Linked DNA regions of Mus musculus. The protein of the gene in region 2 binds, or shares a complex with, the protein of the main gene of each other region. Links are inferred from orthologs where the notes say so. Each region holds a gene or a part of one and is shown on either strand. Other genes may lie near its edges.

What was found.
Region 1: the proteins of Ap3b1 (region 2) and Arf1 are in contact, whole or in part, in a cryo-EM structure (PDB 9C5B), measured with the Homo sapiens proteins. The link is inferred for Mus musculus from reciprocal best matches to the Homo sapiens genes AP3B1 and ARF1. Residues at the interface, in NP_003655.3 of Homo sapiens: Glu52, Asn54, Pro81, Val84, Lys85, Val87, Ala88, Asp111, Leu112, Leu114, Leu115, Ile117, Ser118, Thr119, Gln121, Arg122; in NP_001019397.1 of Homo sapiens: Glu17, Arg19, Tyr35, Ile46, Pro47, Thr48, Ile49, Gly50, Phe51, Asn52, Val53, Glu54, Lys73, Ile74, Leu77, His80, Tyr81, Asn84.
Region 3: the proteins of Ap3b1 (region 2) and Ap3m1 are in contact, whole or in part, in a cryo-EM structure (PDB 9C5A), measured with the Homo sapiens proteins. The link is inferred for Mus musculus from reciprocal best matches to the Homo sapiens genes AP3B1 and AP3M1. Residues at the interface, in NP_003655.3 of Homo sapiens: Leu60, Lys64, Val67, Gly68, Ile70, Ala71, Lys72, Gly73, Ile92, Glu93, Lys96, Leu97, Val100, Arg104, Glu107, Asn128, Gln129, Leu130, Arg137, Arg143, Ser163, Pro164, Tyr165, Lys168, Asn169, His172, Gln175, Lys176, Leu202, Ser206; in NP_001307192.1 of Homo sapiens: Met1, Phe15, Leu16, Glu17, Trp20, Lys21, Ser22, Val23, Gln26, Val42, Glu43, Asn44, Val45, Pro46, Pro47, Val48, Ser50, Tyr55, Ser58, Ile59, Tyr60, Gln71, Thr72, Glu73, Val74, Pro75, Pro76, Leu77, Phe78, Ile80.
Region 4: the proteins of Ap3b1 (region 2) and Ap3d1 are in contact, whole or in part, in a cryo-EM structure (PDB 9C5C), measured with the Homo sapiens proteins. The link is inferred for Mus musculus from reciprocal best matches to the Homo sapiens genes AP3B1 and AP3D1. Residues at the interface, in NP_003655.3 of Homo sapiens: Asn75, Lys466, Lys467, Gln470, Val494, Ala497, Ser498, Trp501, Leu531, Leu534, Gln535, Asn538, Lys542, Asn567, Tyr568, Asp569, Asp572, Arg573, Arg575, Phe576, Ile577, Gln579, Leu580, Lys586, Gly588, Ala589, Leu590, Ser591, Tyr593, Lys596; in NP_003929.4 of Homo sapiens: Lys352, Leu442, Ile446, Ser471, Tyr483, Trp487, Glu491, His517, Ala520, Val521, Gln524, Asn525, Lys528, Val561, Gln562, Ser563, Ala564, Leu566, Glu567, Gln569, Glu570, Arg571, Ser573, Cys574, Gln577, Leu578, His581, Ile582, Leu585, Lys588.

What each region holds. Positions count from the first base shown.
Region 1 is NC_000077.6:59,211,126-59,214,812, reverse strand, and holds the end of Arf1 (ADP-ribosylation factor 1), read left to right. Parts: intron 1-1,289; 5' UTR 1,290-1,325; coding exon 1,326-1,473; intron 1,474-1,559; coding exon 1,560-1,670; intron 1,671-1,867; coding exon 1,868-1,992; intron 1,993-2,117; coding exon 2,118-2,279; 3' UTR 2,280-3,401; downstream 3,402-3,687. UniProt on the Homo sapiens protein: Small GTPase involved in protein trafficking between different compartments. Modulates vesicle budding and uncoating within the Golgi complex. In its GTP-bound form, triggers the recruitment of coatomer proteins to the Golgi membrane.
Region 2 is NC_000079.6:94,470,326-94,474,012, reverse strand, and holds part of Ap3b1 (AP-3 complex subunit beta-1), read right to left. Parts: intron 2,338-3,687; coding exon 2,151-2,337; intron 1,215-2,150; coding exon 1,084-1,214; intron 1-1,083. UniProt on the Homo sapiens protein: Subunit of non-clathrin- and clathrin-associated adaptor protein complex 3 (AP-3) that plays a role in protein sorting in the late-Golgi/trans-Golgi network (TGN) and/or endosomes.
Region 3 is NC_000080.6:21,035,389-21,039,075, forward strand, and holds part of Ap3m1 (AP-3 complex subunit mu-1), read right to left. Parts: exon of another isoform or gene 3,539-3,687; intron 2,798-3,538; coding exon 2,590-2,797; intron 1,870-2,589; coding exon 1,725-1,869; intron 1,316-1,724; coding exon 1,215-1,315; 3' UTR 1-1,214. UniProt on the Homo sapiens protein: Part of the AP-3 complex, an adaptor-related complex which is not clathrin-associated. The complex is associated with the Golgi region as well as more peripheral structures.
Region 4 is NC_000076.6:80,718,230-80,721,916, forward strand, and holds part of Ap3d1 (AP-3 complex subunit delta-1), read right to left. Parts: intron 3,412-3,687; coding exon 3,362-3,411; intron 2,940-3,361; coding exon 2,891-2,939; intron 1,584-2,890; coding exon 1,438-1,583; intron 1,160-1,437; coding exon 780-1,159; intron 1-779. UniProt on the Homo sapiens protein: Part of the AP-3 complex, an adaptor-related complex which is not clathrin-associated. The complex is associated with the Golgi region as well as more peripheral structures.

The DNA.
Region 1 (3,687 bases), on a different chromosome or scaffold from region 2:
CAGACCATGATTTGGATGTCTACTGTATCTGTTGTTGCCAAGTTGCCCACTGTATGATGTTCTGTTAAGGTAGCACTACGAGACAATTTATAGGGAAACTTTGTCATTCTTTTTCCTATGGGTCAGTAGCCTTGGATAATACCTAGGATTGACAACTCTTTCTGAAGGCACTGTGGCCTTCTATTTGCTTTTCTTATTAAGAGTTAACAATGAGCATTTGACAAAGCAAGCAGTAAATCCATTTGGATGAGAAGTGAAGATCAAAGTGGCCACCAGATGTTGAGACCAGACCTAGGGAAACCTTACTATCCTTCCCAGAAGCTCTTAACATTTGATAGGCCCTGGTACATTGGTACCAACTAAATTGCCTAGCGTTTCTTTTCTTCCAGTGGGCCTTACCTACTAAGTATGCATAGGCCCTTGCAGGGACACAGCTCACATTTGCCTGTCATCCTCTTATAGGAATGTGCTGCCAATGGTTTACTGTTTGAGTCTCTTTCTTCTTGCGACTTGAGATAGAACACTGTCTTAACATCTGTCTCCCATGACCTGGGCAGACAGAAATGCCTGGAGAGATGGCATCACAGTTCTTATGGGCTTGTCTAGTCTCGCTGTCACCAGGGGCTGGTAGAACATTTGGCTTGTAGTGTTGAGCATAGAGTGTGACTATTTCTTTAGTTGAAAATTGTGGATACTTTGACACTTTGAAGTAAGAATAGAGATGTAAGGTGGTTTTTTCTGATTTTGTGAAGAGCTCTGTTAGGTTTTAAGAGGCCCTGTGTCAGCCAGGCAGTGGTGGTGCATGCCTTTAATCCCAGCACTTGGGAGGCAGAGGCAGGTGGATTTCTGAGTTCCAGGACAGCCAGGGCTATACAGAGAAACCCTGTCTTAAAAAACCAAAAACCAAAACAAACCCCAAAAAAGGCCCTTTCTCTCAAAACTCTTTTTAGTGCCAGCTCCCGAGTGTGAGCATACTTGATTGTAGTTAGATGTCCCTTCATTCTGACAAGTGATTAGACTTGGGAGACAAGGGGTTGTTGTGGTATCTGCGTCTTCCTAAACTGATATGTGTGACCTTGGTGAGCGTAGGGAGTCTGGTGGGCAGGGGGCAGGGTTCTTTGCTGCCACCTGGGACCTAGGATTGAATTGTCTCCCATCCTCCCATGAAATTTCAGGAGGGATATGAGGACATGGCTTAGGGCAGGGGACTCCTACATAGGTGTCTCTGACCTGCCACAGGGCCCACACTGGCAGCACATAACAGTACTTGAACCACTTTTCTTTCCCAGGTCTTTGGCCAGTATCGATTCCACCTGTCCACAAACATGGGGAATATCTTTGCAAACCTCTTCAAGGGCCTTTTTGGCAAAAAAGAAATGCGCATTCTCATGGTGGGCCTGGATGCTGCAGGGAAGACAACAATTCTATACAAACTTAAGCTGGGCGAAATTGTGACCACCATTCCCACCATTGGTGAGAAGCTGGGCCCAGGGCCAGGGTGGGGGTTGGGTGTGGGGATCCAAAATACAGAGGCCCTCAGCTGCAGTCCTGCCCCCCAGGTTTCAATGTGGAGACTGTTGAATACAAGAATATCAGCTTCACCGTGTGGGATGTGGGCGGCCAGGACAAGATCCGGCCGCTGTGGCGCCACTACTTCCAGAACACCCAAGGTAAGCAGCCAGTCCTTGTCCTAGATTCCTCATATTTGCCTCAAAGGGATACAGTTGGTTCACTGAGCCTTGTGGTCTTTGCCATTTCAGGGCATGAAGCCACACCAAACATCACGGCCAGTGGAAGGACTGGATCTAGAACCTGTGGGGTCTGGTGGGGAGTGTTCAGTATGTGCACTAATGTGGCCATGTTTCAGGCTTGATCTTCGTAGTGGACAGCAATGACAGAGAGCGTGTGAACGAGGCCCGTGAAGAGCTCATGAGGATGCTAGCTGAAGATGAGCTCCGAGATGCTGTTCTCTTGGTGTTTGCCAACAAGCAGGTAGGCACCAGCAAGGTCCTTCCCTGAAGGAAAACCTGTATCAGGGAAGAAAGAGGAGGGGTGAAAGGCTACCCAGGGTTATTGGCTGTTTGTGGTCCCTGCCACTAATTCTTCCTTTTCCTCAGGACCTCCCCAATGCCATGAATGCGGCCGAAATCACAGACAAGCTGGGGCTGCACTCTCTACGCCACAGGAACTGGTACATTCAGGCCACCTGTGCCACCAGCGGGGACGGGCTCTATGAAGGACTAGATTGGCTGTCTAATCAGCTCCGGAACCAGAAGTGAACCAGACCCCTCCCTCCCCCTCACTTCCTCTTCTCCGCCCTCAGCTTTCCTCTCATGTGGCAAACGTGCGACTCTGTGGTCCTGAGTGCCAGAAGCTGTCTCCATGGGTTGGTCACAGTGTGCATCGCACCGTGCTGTACATGTGCAGACGCAGCCTGCAGCCAGGTTTTTATTTAATGTAAATAGTTTCTGTTTCCACTGAGGCAGTTTCTGGTACTCCTATGCAATATTACTTAGCTTTTTTATTGTAAAAAGAGAATCAACTCAACTGTCAGTACTGAGAAGGGATTTGGGTGTAGGGGCACCTGGCCTCCGGGAGCCATTGGGCTGTAGACTGGTGTCGGTATCCATTTGGTGGTTGGTTTTTAACCCAAACTCAGTGCATTTTTTAAAAATAGTTAAAAATACAGGACAAGAACACTTGAACACACAGAACGGAGACTATGCCTAGTGTAGGTTTTGCAGTTAATGGCCTGAATGCTAGATATCAGATCACCTGTTTCGCTGTGGGAACAGGAGAGAAGGTGATGAACAAACCACCATCCGCTGCATGGTCACAGTAGAGCCCCCGTGACTCGCCTGTCTTTGGGTCACCTGCATTCCATAGCATTGTGCTTGTACTTGTGCTCACACGGTTACCTAGGGTAGGCTGGGAGCCATTGTGGGGTGCAGGGCCTGGCTTGTACTTGGTGTGTGCAAGGCCCAATGGCAGCCTGCATACCCAGCCTACTCTTGGGCCCACTTGGACGCGCTGGCAGGAGGCCTGGGTCTCACCAGCAGGAGTGCGTGCAAGGTGGGAGGGTCGGTCCATTACAGACCCACATCCTGGAGCACCCCCATCTCCATGTGTGAAGTAGCTTCCTCCCTCAGCCTGCAAGGGTCCGATTTGCCATCGAAAGACGACCTCTACTTTTTTCTTTTGTATTTTGATAAACACTGAAGAAGCTGGAGCTGTTAAATTTATCTTGGGGAAATCTCAGAACTGGTTTATTTGGTGTCGTGGAACCTCTTACCGCTTTCAATACACAATTAGTAATCAACTGTTTTGTATACTTGTTTTCAGTTTTCATTTCGACAAGCACTGTAATTATAGCTGTTAGAATAAAGTCTCTTAACTATTTGATGGGCTTGTGTGTCAGTGCCACCACTGCCAGGCTTCTTCCTGAGATTGAGAGCCCTTTTCATGCTATAGGAAACAGGGAAACAGGTGCCCTTTAAGCCCTAGTGTAATCTGGTAAGATCTGGATGTCTTGACGTGCTTCTTTCCTTTCCTTTCTGTGACAGACTGGGGCAGCTGGCCTTGGAGTGCTTATCTCTGGGTAGGTGTGACCACTAGAAGATCCAAAGTTTATCATCCTTCCGAATAGGCCCCTGCCTAAGTGGACTGACCTTCACCCCCTTGAGGTCT
Region 2 (3,687 bases):
TGGGTACCACTATGAAGTTTAAACAAACTGGTACCTGCCACACGTCACTGACGGGGCTCTGAACTAAGCTACATTAATTATCTGCTGCCAGACATGCTTCAAAGCCAGTGTAAGTTTTGTATTCAAAAGAAAGCTGTTTCTCAGCATAATCATATTGCATGGCTATGCTCATTAACGGGATTATATTTAAAGTTAGTGACTTCCTTCCTTTGCATGTGGAAGAGAACAAGGAAGCTAACTAGCTTTCCGACCAGAGCTAATGGTAGCTAACTAGCTTTCCGACCAGAGCTAATGGTAAAGGCTTCTGATTATCTAATTTCTAGTTCACTGCACTACTTATATGAGGAAGACATTAAGAATGTAATTCTCACCTGCTCCATTTATATTAAAAAACAAAGAATATATTCACACAATTTCTAGGTACAAGCAAAATATCTTTCATTATCAAACTTACTATGAAACAATAAATAGGTAATGCTAGTAAAGAGTAACCATTATGCAAGCCTAACATCCAGTGTATTTAAGAAAAGATTTAGAAAACATAATTGGCATTTTTTAAATGTAAAAAGTGTACTATCCGTTTCTAGCTGTAACCTTGTCAAGGTTATCTTTGGTATACAACGCTCTCTGCTTATTTGTAAGCATCACCTAAAACTGAGCTCATCAGAAAACCCAGTACATTTTGTACAGGTTTTTCTTTTCTCGAAAAGAACAGCAAAAATTATTTATAAAAACACTGACAGGAAGCTTACGAATCTCCAACAAAGTAGAAAAAGCTCAATCCATTGAAACTAAATACCTTAGAAATTGAATCTACACAGCTACAAATGCAATCGCACAAATGTGGCTGGCACTGATGCAGAGAATTCAATTCTCTGTTTCCTTGAAGCAGAGAACAGTGCAGGTACAGCGGCAAGGAAACACAGTGCTCAGTTCCTCTAAGGCAAGGTGTATCTAACACGTTGCATTCAGAAACACAAGAACAGCGCTCAGTTTTCAGCCCAAAGGGTTTTCTATAAAATGGTAGTTACCCAAGAAGCTCTCATTGTTAGAACAAAATTAATCTCAGAAAGGTCAACTTACTGACTCTATTACTTCTACATTGCGAACCGATGGGTCAGGCGCCACCTCTGGCCAATTAGATAATTCCAGGTACCCGGACGCTTTAATGTTGAGAGTATGAGATAAGGTGCCAAGCTGGAAGCGATCCCTATCTATTAAAAATGGAGGAAAATAGAAAATAAACAATATGAGCTGTATATAACAGATGACAATCATATCAGAGCTCAAGGTAATTGGCATATTACCACAAATGTCAAGGAATAAATATAAACCAGGAAGCTCTTCATAGGTCAGAAAACTGATTTCAGCCCATAGATTACAATAATCTCCCCCATAATGGTCAATAAAAAAGCTAATCAGTCAGTGTGTTTGGAGGTGTTGCTCTGAAATGTAGCTTCTCTAAAAATTACTTTACTGTGAATATTAGGAATGACAGCGCAGCTAAACCATCCATATACATGCCTCGGCACAACACACGCGGAATCTCAATGGTTTCTGTGCCACACAGAACTGCATTTACTGTTTTACAACACTTAAGTAAGAAACCACGTGGAAGCCAAGCTCCAGAGCCACGTGGTCCCAACCATACTCGCTGCTTGTTAGCTGACAAGATATTTAATTACAAAAAGCTGGGGAAAAGAACACAGCTCCTTCCTTGAAAAATGAACTTGAATGTAAAGATTCTGTATGAACTAATCTCTAGAGACGCTGGCATTAGTGTACATGGGTATTTAATGAATAACTCACTATTATTAGGTATCAGGAACTAAAAGTATTTGTTTAAAGCAGAAATAAAGCCCATGGCTATAAGAACAGAACAGGTATTCTACCTACCGTTCAGTTAAACTGCCTAATGAGAATAAAAACCAGAGAACCTGAATCTATTTAGGAAAACAAGGTCTACAGGAAAATAAACCTTAACAAACATAAGAATAAAACTTGCCGTGAAGAGATGAAAAAGTGCAATCACAATGTTCTCCCACACCCACACGGAAGTCGTGTTTCTCAGAGGGAAGCCTGAAGCACATGGGAATGGGCACACTGACACGCTGTAGGCAGCGTGCTGTAAGCTATGCATCTCGTGATACCTTTAAAGGGAGACTCGAGCAGTGGCGCAGGCTTCGGTGCTAGGAAGATTTTTTTGGCATATTTACTTAAGGCTCCACTCTTCTCGTTCGGAACAATAAGCTGCCTAATAAATCGTGTGCGGTCTCTGATGTCGTAGTTTTGATCATACTTGCCGAGATTTAATATGTACTGGGTAAGCAATTTTGTCTGTTCGAAAAAAAAACAGAACAAGTTGAAAATACGGTTATTTATGATTATTGATAACTCTGGATAAACATATTTAAAGATGTAATAAAAATGAATGGTTATGTCAAACAAATGTCGTTCCATGGGGAATATGCATTTCTAACGTGGCAAATGGAATTCTGTAGCCAATGCACATGTCCTCTTCTGTGCTGGGGAGGTGAATGCTGAGCTCTGAGAAGCAGCCATGTGCTAGATTATTAAACTGCTGAAGTGGAAAGAAAGGCATCATTAAAAAAATAATCATATATGGCAAACCCGCTGAAGGGTCTACGTGAGAATAATGAATGTGGAAATACAACTAAAAACATGGCACTCAAAACTTAATCGGAAAAATATGCGGGACATCAAAACATCAGAGAGTATTAGGGGCTGGCAAGCCGCTTCTCCTGAGGTGTGCTTTATGAAGAGATACTGTCCCTGGCACAGGCAGTGTCTGCACTCTGACTGCACTCCGTTACTTTCCCCTGAATTATGACCCATTAAAGCAGACACATGAATCACTGAACTGGATCACTGCAAATTATTTGCAGTGCATTTAGCTGTTACTTTTTCATAAAAGCTGCTGATGCCCTCTAAAAACTAGGATGAAAGAGTTCTTCCATTTTTCCACCATGCCGCTTATAGCCTCTAGTAATATTGGTCATTTATTTATTTACGTAAGCTTTTACACCATAATCAGGCTTGCTAAGTCAACTTCTGAACGCACTACATTAATGTATATTGAGATGATTTTAATAGTAATTAAAACAATATTGGAATATAACAAAATAGGTTTGTATTTTAAACTACAGTGTTTTTAAATGAAAAGGCAATTTTAATTTAGAAATCTACATGTGTACAATTGTAAATTAAAGCTAAAAGGAAGTCATAAAATAAGGAGAAAATAACCAAAGATTGGTACTATTAGAGAATGGTACACACATTATAAACAAATGACAATAGAACCAATCAACAGGGAGAAGCAAAGACACCGCTAGAACATCATGGCAGAGACCAGGGACAGACAGTTGGGCCCTAAACAACAGTCAGCGGAGGGCTGGCCAGGAGAGCAAGGAAGCTTCTTTTGGAAGCAAGGTATTTGAAAGCCTTAACACGGGTTTATTAAGAAGGAATTATAAATGCTTGCAGGTTTTCCTGAATCTAGTTACCAACTACGGCTGTCCGTGTTGCCTCATCCCTAAGTAAAGACTTCCATGGTTCCTGTTTAAAGAATGGCAAGCAGCCGGTACCCGGACACCTGAGAAACGCAGCTCAGCAGCAGCTCACACATGGGGCGCTGCACGGCTGAAACTACCTGCACCGGAGAGCTGG
Region 3 (3,687 bases), on a different chromosome or scaffold from region 2:
AGTCACAGACTGGCTTTTCAGGAGTAAAGACCAATTAGTATAAATGGTTACTGAGGACTCTGTCCTTCCGTGAATGGTTCTTCCACGTACGCAGTACGGCAAAGACACTTAAGTGCTTCACTCGAATTTGATAGGAGTTTGGAGAAGGTGTCATCACAATGGCCTGGAGATATATGTAGTATGGAAAGGCGCTCCCCCAAATGAAGGGCACACAAGCAAATTCAACTATTTAAACACACAAAGATTGAAAAGAGCAACATAGTGAAACTCATGATTTCCTTCTTTAGCTAAACTAGGGTTTCAAGCTAATTAGGTTAGTGGCATTAAATAAAGCTTTAATAAAACATGAGAATGGCAAAGGTTTTGCTTGATTTTCTCTTTTACTACTTTAATTTGTTTAAAAGCACAAACAGCTGTGCCTGCAGTAACTCGCTAACAACAGAAGTAGTGTTCCCTTTCGTTGTCTTAATAAAGTATTTGCCCTTTTGATGCAAATGATTTGACTGTGCTATCTTAACAGCTGAACTAGTGGCACAAGATTGATGGAATATTTACTGCAGCAAGGTCCTTGTAAATCAAAATCTGAGCTTTACATAAAAATCTTATTTATAAAAAATATAATACCAAGTACAGTGAGAATGGAGCACGGAGCTGTAGTGCTCCCTGCCAGGGCCATGTGGAAGTGGCTTTTGCTACAGTGCTTGCTTAATGGCACAAGTGAAAAGCTGAGTAAGGCAAACACTTGAAGAGGCAGTTTTCTGTAAACTTCTTGGGGTGGGGCAATCTCCTCTCTTGGGACAGACACTGAGATGGCTAAGATCAGAAGGTGTGACACTTGGCTGCACCTGACACATCACAGACTGAGACAGTTCCTGCTGGTAGATGAGACCAGTTGGCTTGCTTTAGGAGAGAGGATATCACTGTAGCCTTCTGCTTTGACTGTTAGAATGTGCAGCATTCAGCTGGTAGCCCCCATGGAAGAAATCATCTAAACCTTTTCCTAAGTGAAAAGATACAAAATAAGCTAAGTCTTTAGAAAACTTTCCTTAGCTTAAAGCTCCGTAAGAACCCTACATCAATTACTAAGCAACTTTGTTAGCAGGGTAGCTTGACACAAATGCTGTATATTATTCCCACCCACTTGGTACCTAATAGTAATAAATTGCAATGACACTTGAAAAAACAAACTGATCTTGAGCAAGTTTGGCCTCTTCTCATGTCCTCACTTGGAACTTCCCAGCCTTTGTGACATATTTGACTCCTTTAAATGGCTTATACTTCTCACCATACATGTCCAAGCGGTTCACTTTTAAGCCTGTGTCAAAAAGAATGAAACGAATCATTACTACCAGAGTAATAATGCAGTACTTGTGTAACAATGAACACTGTGCCTTAGATGTGACACTGCACAGTGCTCCATTCATCATGTGGAAACAACATCCCTTTTCTATCCCCCACATGCTGTACTCTAAGGAGCATGGCCTTGGTTAAGATGCCTCTGCTCACAAAACTAGCTAGTTCCACTTTCTTTGAACACAAATGAGGGCTTCTCTGGCTCTTAAATGAAGGTGAGGTGAGGTATGTGTGACAGAAGAGCATGAGGTTAAGTTGTGTTCTCAAATGGCTGCTGTCTGGAGCTGCTGTTCCTTCTAGGGTAGAGCTGTTAGTACTCTTCCAGACTCCTAGCCCCAATCTCCCCTCAATGCCCAGCAAACACGTGTTACCTGAAATAGCAAGCTGCTGGATCTTGAACTGTATGTTGAGGTTTGGGTTCTCTTCTGGCTTGGGTGCTCCTGACTGTAAATTTACTAGTCCTTTAAGACTTGGGAGCTTTTGTGGAGTAATTTTGCCCACATCCCATGCTAGTACCTTAAAAACACAAGAGAAAATACCTGAGCTGTGTTAAAGACATGCTCAGAGGTCAACAGATGCTATACACTACACAAAATGAAGCAGTGTCTTAGAAAACAGAAGCCAGGACTACACAACTGGCTTATGTTCTAATCACTAAATGTTCAGTTACAGAATCCACAGCAGAATCATGTGTGTGGGGCTGAGTAACAGACAGACAGAAGGATGACTCCAGCTCAGCTGGAAGGTGAGGATGTGGACTCGCCTGCTCACACCTCACACTTAAAGGGTCCCAGAAAGGCTTTTTTTTTGTTTGTTTTTTTGTTTTTGTTTTTTCGTTTAAGACAGGGTTTCTCTGTGTAGCCCTGGCTGTCCTGGAACTCACTCTGTAGACCAGGGTGGCCTCGAACTCAGAAATCCACCTGCCTCTGCCTCCCAAGTGCTGGGATTAAAGGCGTGCGCCACCACGCCCGGCTCCTCCATTTCAAACACAATCCAAACCAAACCAAAACACCTTCTCATTTATCAAGTACTCTATTCTGCTGAAAACTTACATTTCCTACATAAGGAAGCAAGGGAGCGAAGAGAAAATCATCTTTTCTAGGACTCTGAAAACCCTTGGCTAGAGTCTTGTTTAAGCAAGGCAAGGACCCTGCTTCCTAAGTACTGTGACCTCCACCCACAACCACAAAATAGATTGCAGAACACTTGCTCATTCTTGTTTCGAAGTGCCTGTACCTTGGTCACGGGATCAAATGTATAGCTGCCTTGCGTTGGTGTCAGGTTCATATTCAGCACAACTTTGGGCATGTGAACAGTCACTGTGATTCCTTCAATTGTTTTTCCCATATTCTGTTTCGGTCCAATTGTTATATCAAACCGGCCACAAGAGCTGTTTTCCTTAAAGCTGATACTGTGTTTCACATACACTGGTATTGCCACTAGACTAAAAAAAAGACACAAAAAGGTACAAAAGTACATTATGAAAGGTATGGGACAACTCCAGATGTAGTGTATGTCCTACGAGGTCTGTAACTGTGCCACAGGACCATATGCCCTAGCAGATTAGGCCTATGCACTAGGGTTGAGGACAGCAATGTTCTGGTACCAATGTGCTAGAAATGTATGGGTTAGTAACAAATACATAAGCCCAAACAGAAATCTCCTCCAAATATCACATAAACAACTCGGATAAAGGGATACAGCTAAAAAAAAAAAAAAAAAAAAAAAGGAAGAAAGAAAGAAAGAAAGAGAAGAGCCCATTAAAAGAATTTAAAGCACTAAGAAATATTTTCTCAGAAAAATGTTTCAGTTTTGTCTAATCACCCAAATGCTTTCTGGAATTTTAAGGGACACGTCAGCCCCAGCTGACAACAGTAAACTGTTTAAAGCTCAATGCAAGATGAATATGGTGGCACATATCAATGATCCTAGCACCCAGAAAGCTGAGGCAGGAGGATCCACAGTTTGAGGTAACAAATAAGACACTGTTTTAAAAACAAGAACCACTTCAACCTCCCAAACTCAATGTAGAGAACAGTGACTTGAAGCAGGTAGTTTAGGGGATGTTTTAGGGTATCCTGTCTTGTTTGTTTACAGACATAGCAGACTAAGGCACTGAGTTCATGGTTTGCCCAGGTCACGCACAGTCCAAAGGCTTGGTCTTAATCATAGATTTTTAACTTACTCTCTCTTACTACTTCTCTACACTTCCATGTTCAGAAACACTAATTGTTTTGGGTACAAAATTCTCATTAGGTCTCCAGGTGAGCCACAGCTAAAGGAAACATTGGTAAACTCAAGAATTAAACTGTAAAGATGAAACAACAACTGGGA
Region 4 (3,687 bases), on a different chromosome or scaffold from region 2:
TCTGACGTCTTCTGGTGTGTCTGAAGAGAGCAATGGTGAGTATGTAAAATTAAAAAAAGGAAAAGGAAACAATAGCAAAGATGTGACTGCCACTAGTAGTAGACACAGGTCAGAGGACCTACGTTATCTGTATGGCTGACTTGTTGCCATTGATTTGTTCCTGGTAATGAGCATTTGCTTGATAGGAACAAGACCCTGGGTTTGATTTCTAGCACCACAAAAACTGAACATTCATCAATAACTTCTCCTGGCATCCATGTGCTGTGCTGTGGGGTTCAAAGAGGCGGCTCCCACTGGATCCTCAAAGGACAACTTATACACAGCCTCCGTGGGCTGAGCTCTGGGGCAAGGGAAGTGCTGGGCAAATTTTGTGGTTTTTCCAGAGAAATGTGCTCCCCAGGAGAGTTCTGTGACAGACTGAAAACAAATCCACACCTCTCTTGGTCACAGCTGTCCTGTGTCCTCTGAGCAGGTGTAAGGTGTAATGGAGGTGCTGTAGCCACCGCAGCCTACCACCTAGTCAGCCCGGGAGCCTGGCGTGAGGAGCTCACTATCAGCACTGTATGCTGAGTCACCTGAAGCAGACGTGAGCTGCCTCACAGTCTACAAGGCACCCTCCTCTCCACAGCCAGTGTGACCCAAATTGTCCACGCCACTCCATGGAAGGAGACAGGAGATCACTTGGGCAGAGCTGCCCAGAAGTGACCATTGTCAGGCAAAGGATCTGTCTGCGTACATGTCCCCACACTAGGCCACTTCCAAGGGCTGCCCCGACTCACTCTGAGAACTCCCCGCAGATCCAGGCAGCAGCATAGAGCACCTCACAGATACCATTGCGTTGGGTGCTGCTGGCTACCAGGTGAGCACTGTCAAGCAGTGAGGACATCTGCGACACAGCAAATTTGCGAATGGCCTTGACCCGGATAGCCACGTCCAGCATCTGTGCAGCAATGAGGTGGCCATGGCGGGTGCCCTCCAGCCTTGTCAGCTCCACAAGGATGCTGATGTACCACTCGAAGTTGGTGATGTGCTGGTAGTTGGACTGGCTACAGATGTCAATGATCTTGGTGAGCAGTTCATCGCGATAGGTGGTGCCCTCAGCCTTGTCCACGTGAGTCATGAGCTTCTTCACAATCTCCATCAGGTTCTTCTTGGACACCTGTGGGGAACAGGCAGCTGTGGCCAGGCATGAACACTGACAACCAAGATGGAACTCATGAGCCCAAGAGGGATAGCTTCCTCCCCAGAGTGCAAAACTGTATCAGATCAAGGGAGAGTGACAGAGACTCTCGTATTTGGTATCCAGTTCCATCCCCTATATCCTGGACAGGTGCCATTGGCTGACCGCAGCAGGTTCAGGCTGCTCTCCCAGCCTGGATAGGAATGACAAGTACTGAAGCTTCACAGGCCCCCCATCCTGGCCACAGGGACACATACCATTCCATAGAGCAGGTCAAGTGCACGCAGGCGGATGGACTCGTCCTTGTCATCCAGGCACTGCAGGATCAGGTCCTTGTGGGACTGCACAGACTTGGGGTGTGTCTTCAGGATTTTAGACATGGCCAGCAGCCCCAGGTACTTTACTGTGAAGACCAAGTAGCCATTAGCTTGGGGACAGCAAGTGAAATACCATGACCCACAGGCATATCAGGGGTGCTGCCTTTAGCTGATGGCCACTTTCGTGAGCCCCACCTCACCCAGGAAGCCACGGTGGAGGCTTGTACCCAGCCTCTCACAGCATGTCTACAGGCACAGCCCTCTGGAGACTGGAAGAACAGGACTGTAAACCCAGCTCCAGAGTGTTATAAGCTCCGGTCTCCACAGGCACTGGCCTTCCCAAGCACAGACCCACACACGGACACACAATTATGAATGACAAAAACTTACAAATAACTTAAAAATACATGTTGTTCGCCAGGCGTGGTAGCGCACACCTTTAATCCCAGCACTTGGGAGGCAGAGGCAGGCGGATTTCTGAGTTCGAGGCCAGCCTGGTCTACAGAGTGAGTTCCAGGACAGCCAGGGCTACACAGAGAAACCCTGTCTTGAAAAAACAAACAAACAAACAAAAACCTAAAACAACAACAACAAACAAACAAACAAAAAACACATGTTATTAAAAGGAAAAAAAAAAAAAAGAACCCTGCTGGGAATAGTGTTGTACATCTTTCATCCCAGCACTCAGGAGGCAGAGGCAGATGGATAGATCTCTGTGAGTTTAGGCTAGCCTGGTCTATAGATTGAGTTCTAGGACAGCCAAAAAAGGAAAAGAAGAAAGAAAGAAAAGCACTCCAATGATGCTGTGTCTGAGGACCCTGCCCACAAGCTCTAAAGGTCACTGCTAGCCAAACGACAGTGACTGCTGGCCCAGTGCAGGCCTCATGAAAAATGGAGAGGCTGAAGCAGGAGCCACAGATGACACCTGTGCACCTGAAGCCTCACTTGTGACAGGTTTTGAGGTAGTCACATCAACAGATGGCCCAGAGATGCTTTCCTGAGAGATTGTGGTGTGAAGTAGGACTGAGAACCCCTGGGCCCTATGAGCAAGTCTATCAGGCCTGGCTCTACTGTAGACAACAGCCTGCCACTTGGTCTGGTAAGCAGCAGATGACACTGACACAGCCCCCATTCTGGAACAGGTTTAAGCAGAGAGCAGTGTAGGGACATACGGAAGGCAGTAGTAGGTTGCTTCATGCTTCCCTGGGGCTCAGGGCAAGGCTAGCCAGACTGCGGTGAGGGCTACCACTCTATCCACAAAGCCCTCCAGCGGGATCAGCATGAGCACAGCAGAGGGCTGAGGGCCCAGGAGCATTTGGTCCCCAGTGTGAGATTTCTGAATCCCAGGCATGGCATTCAGGTGTGACAGCCAGGGAAGGCAGCAGTGACTTACAGTTCTGGTCGGAGTCTTCTATCAGTATCCTCAACTTCTGAACGCATAGCTGAGAGGAGGAAAGCCACACTGGTCTGCACCCCACCACCATGCCCAGCAGCCCACCACCAGCCCTGACCAAGAGCATGCATCTGGGGACAGGTTGGGCAGGTAACTGCAGCCTTTGCTCTGGGGACCCTGCTCAGCATGACTAAGTGGACTGGCAGGCACCAGTGAGGACATGTGGGAGCAAGTTCTGGGGGCACAGAGTGTCCACAGCAGCTGCCCAGGCAGGCTGACTAGGTCCCCACAGGGCAGGTAGAAGTACAGTGGAGAAAGGAGGTGCCTGTGGGAGGGCTGAGGCTGGAGGACTTTCTTCATGCTTCAAGCTGTTCAAGAAAAATGAACTTGGAAGTGACCACTGCAATCATTTCCAGACTGGCTGAGGAGCCCCACTCGTGCTGATGAGCACAGGTCCGGAGACAGACGCACCTGGATGCTGGCGCTGTGGTTGGGCATCCCAGAAGACAGTGAGATGAGCACTGGGACACATGGAGGTCAAGGTTAGTAGCCCTGGGTCAGACACTGACACCTACTAACCCACCCCACCAACAGGGACCTGGCTGACTGGCTCACAGGAGGCTTGACGCTGCACGTTCAGAAGGCAGATGGACAGGTTGGACCTTGGGAAGCCAGGGGATCTGGCCTGGGTCTCCCATCCTTCCTAATAGGAGTGGCTCTTAGACCTAAAGTACTGGTACCTAAGACAGGATCACACAGTTCCTATTCCTCTCTGGGATCTGGGGTGCAGATCTGTG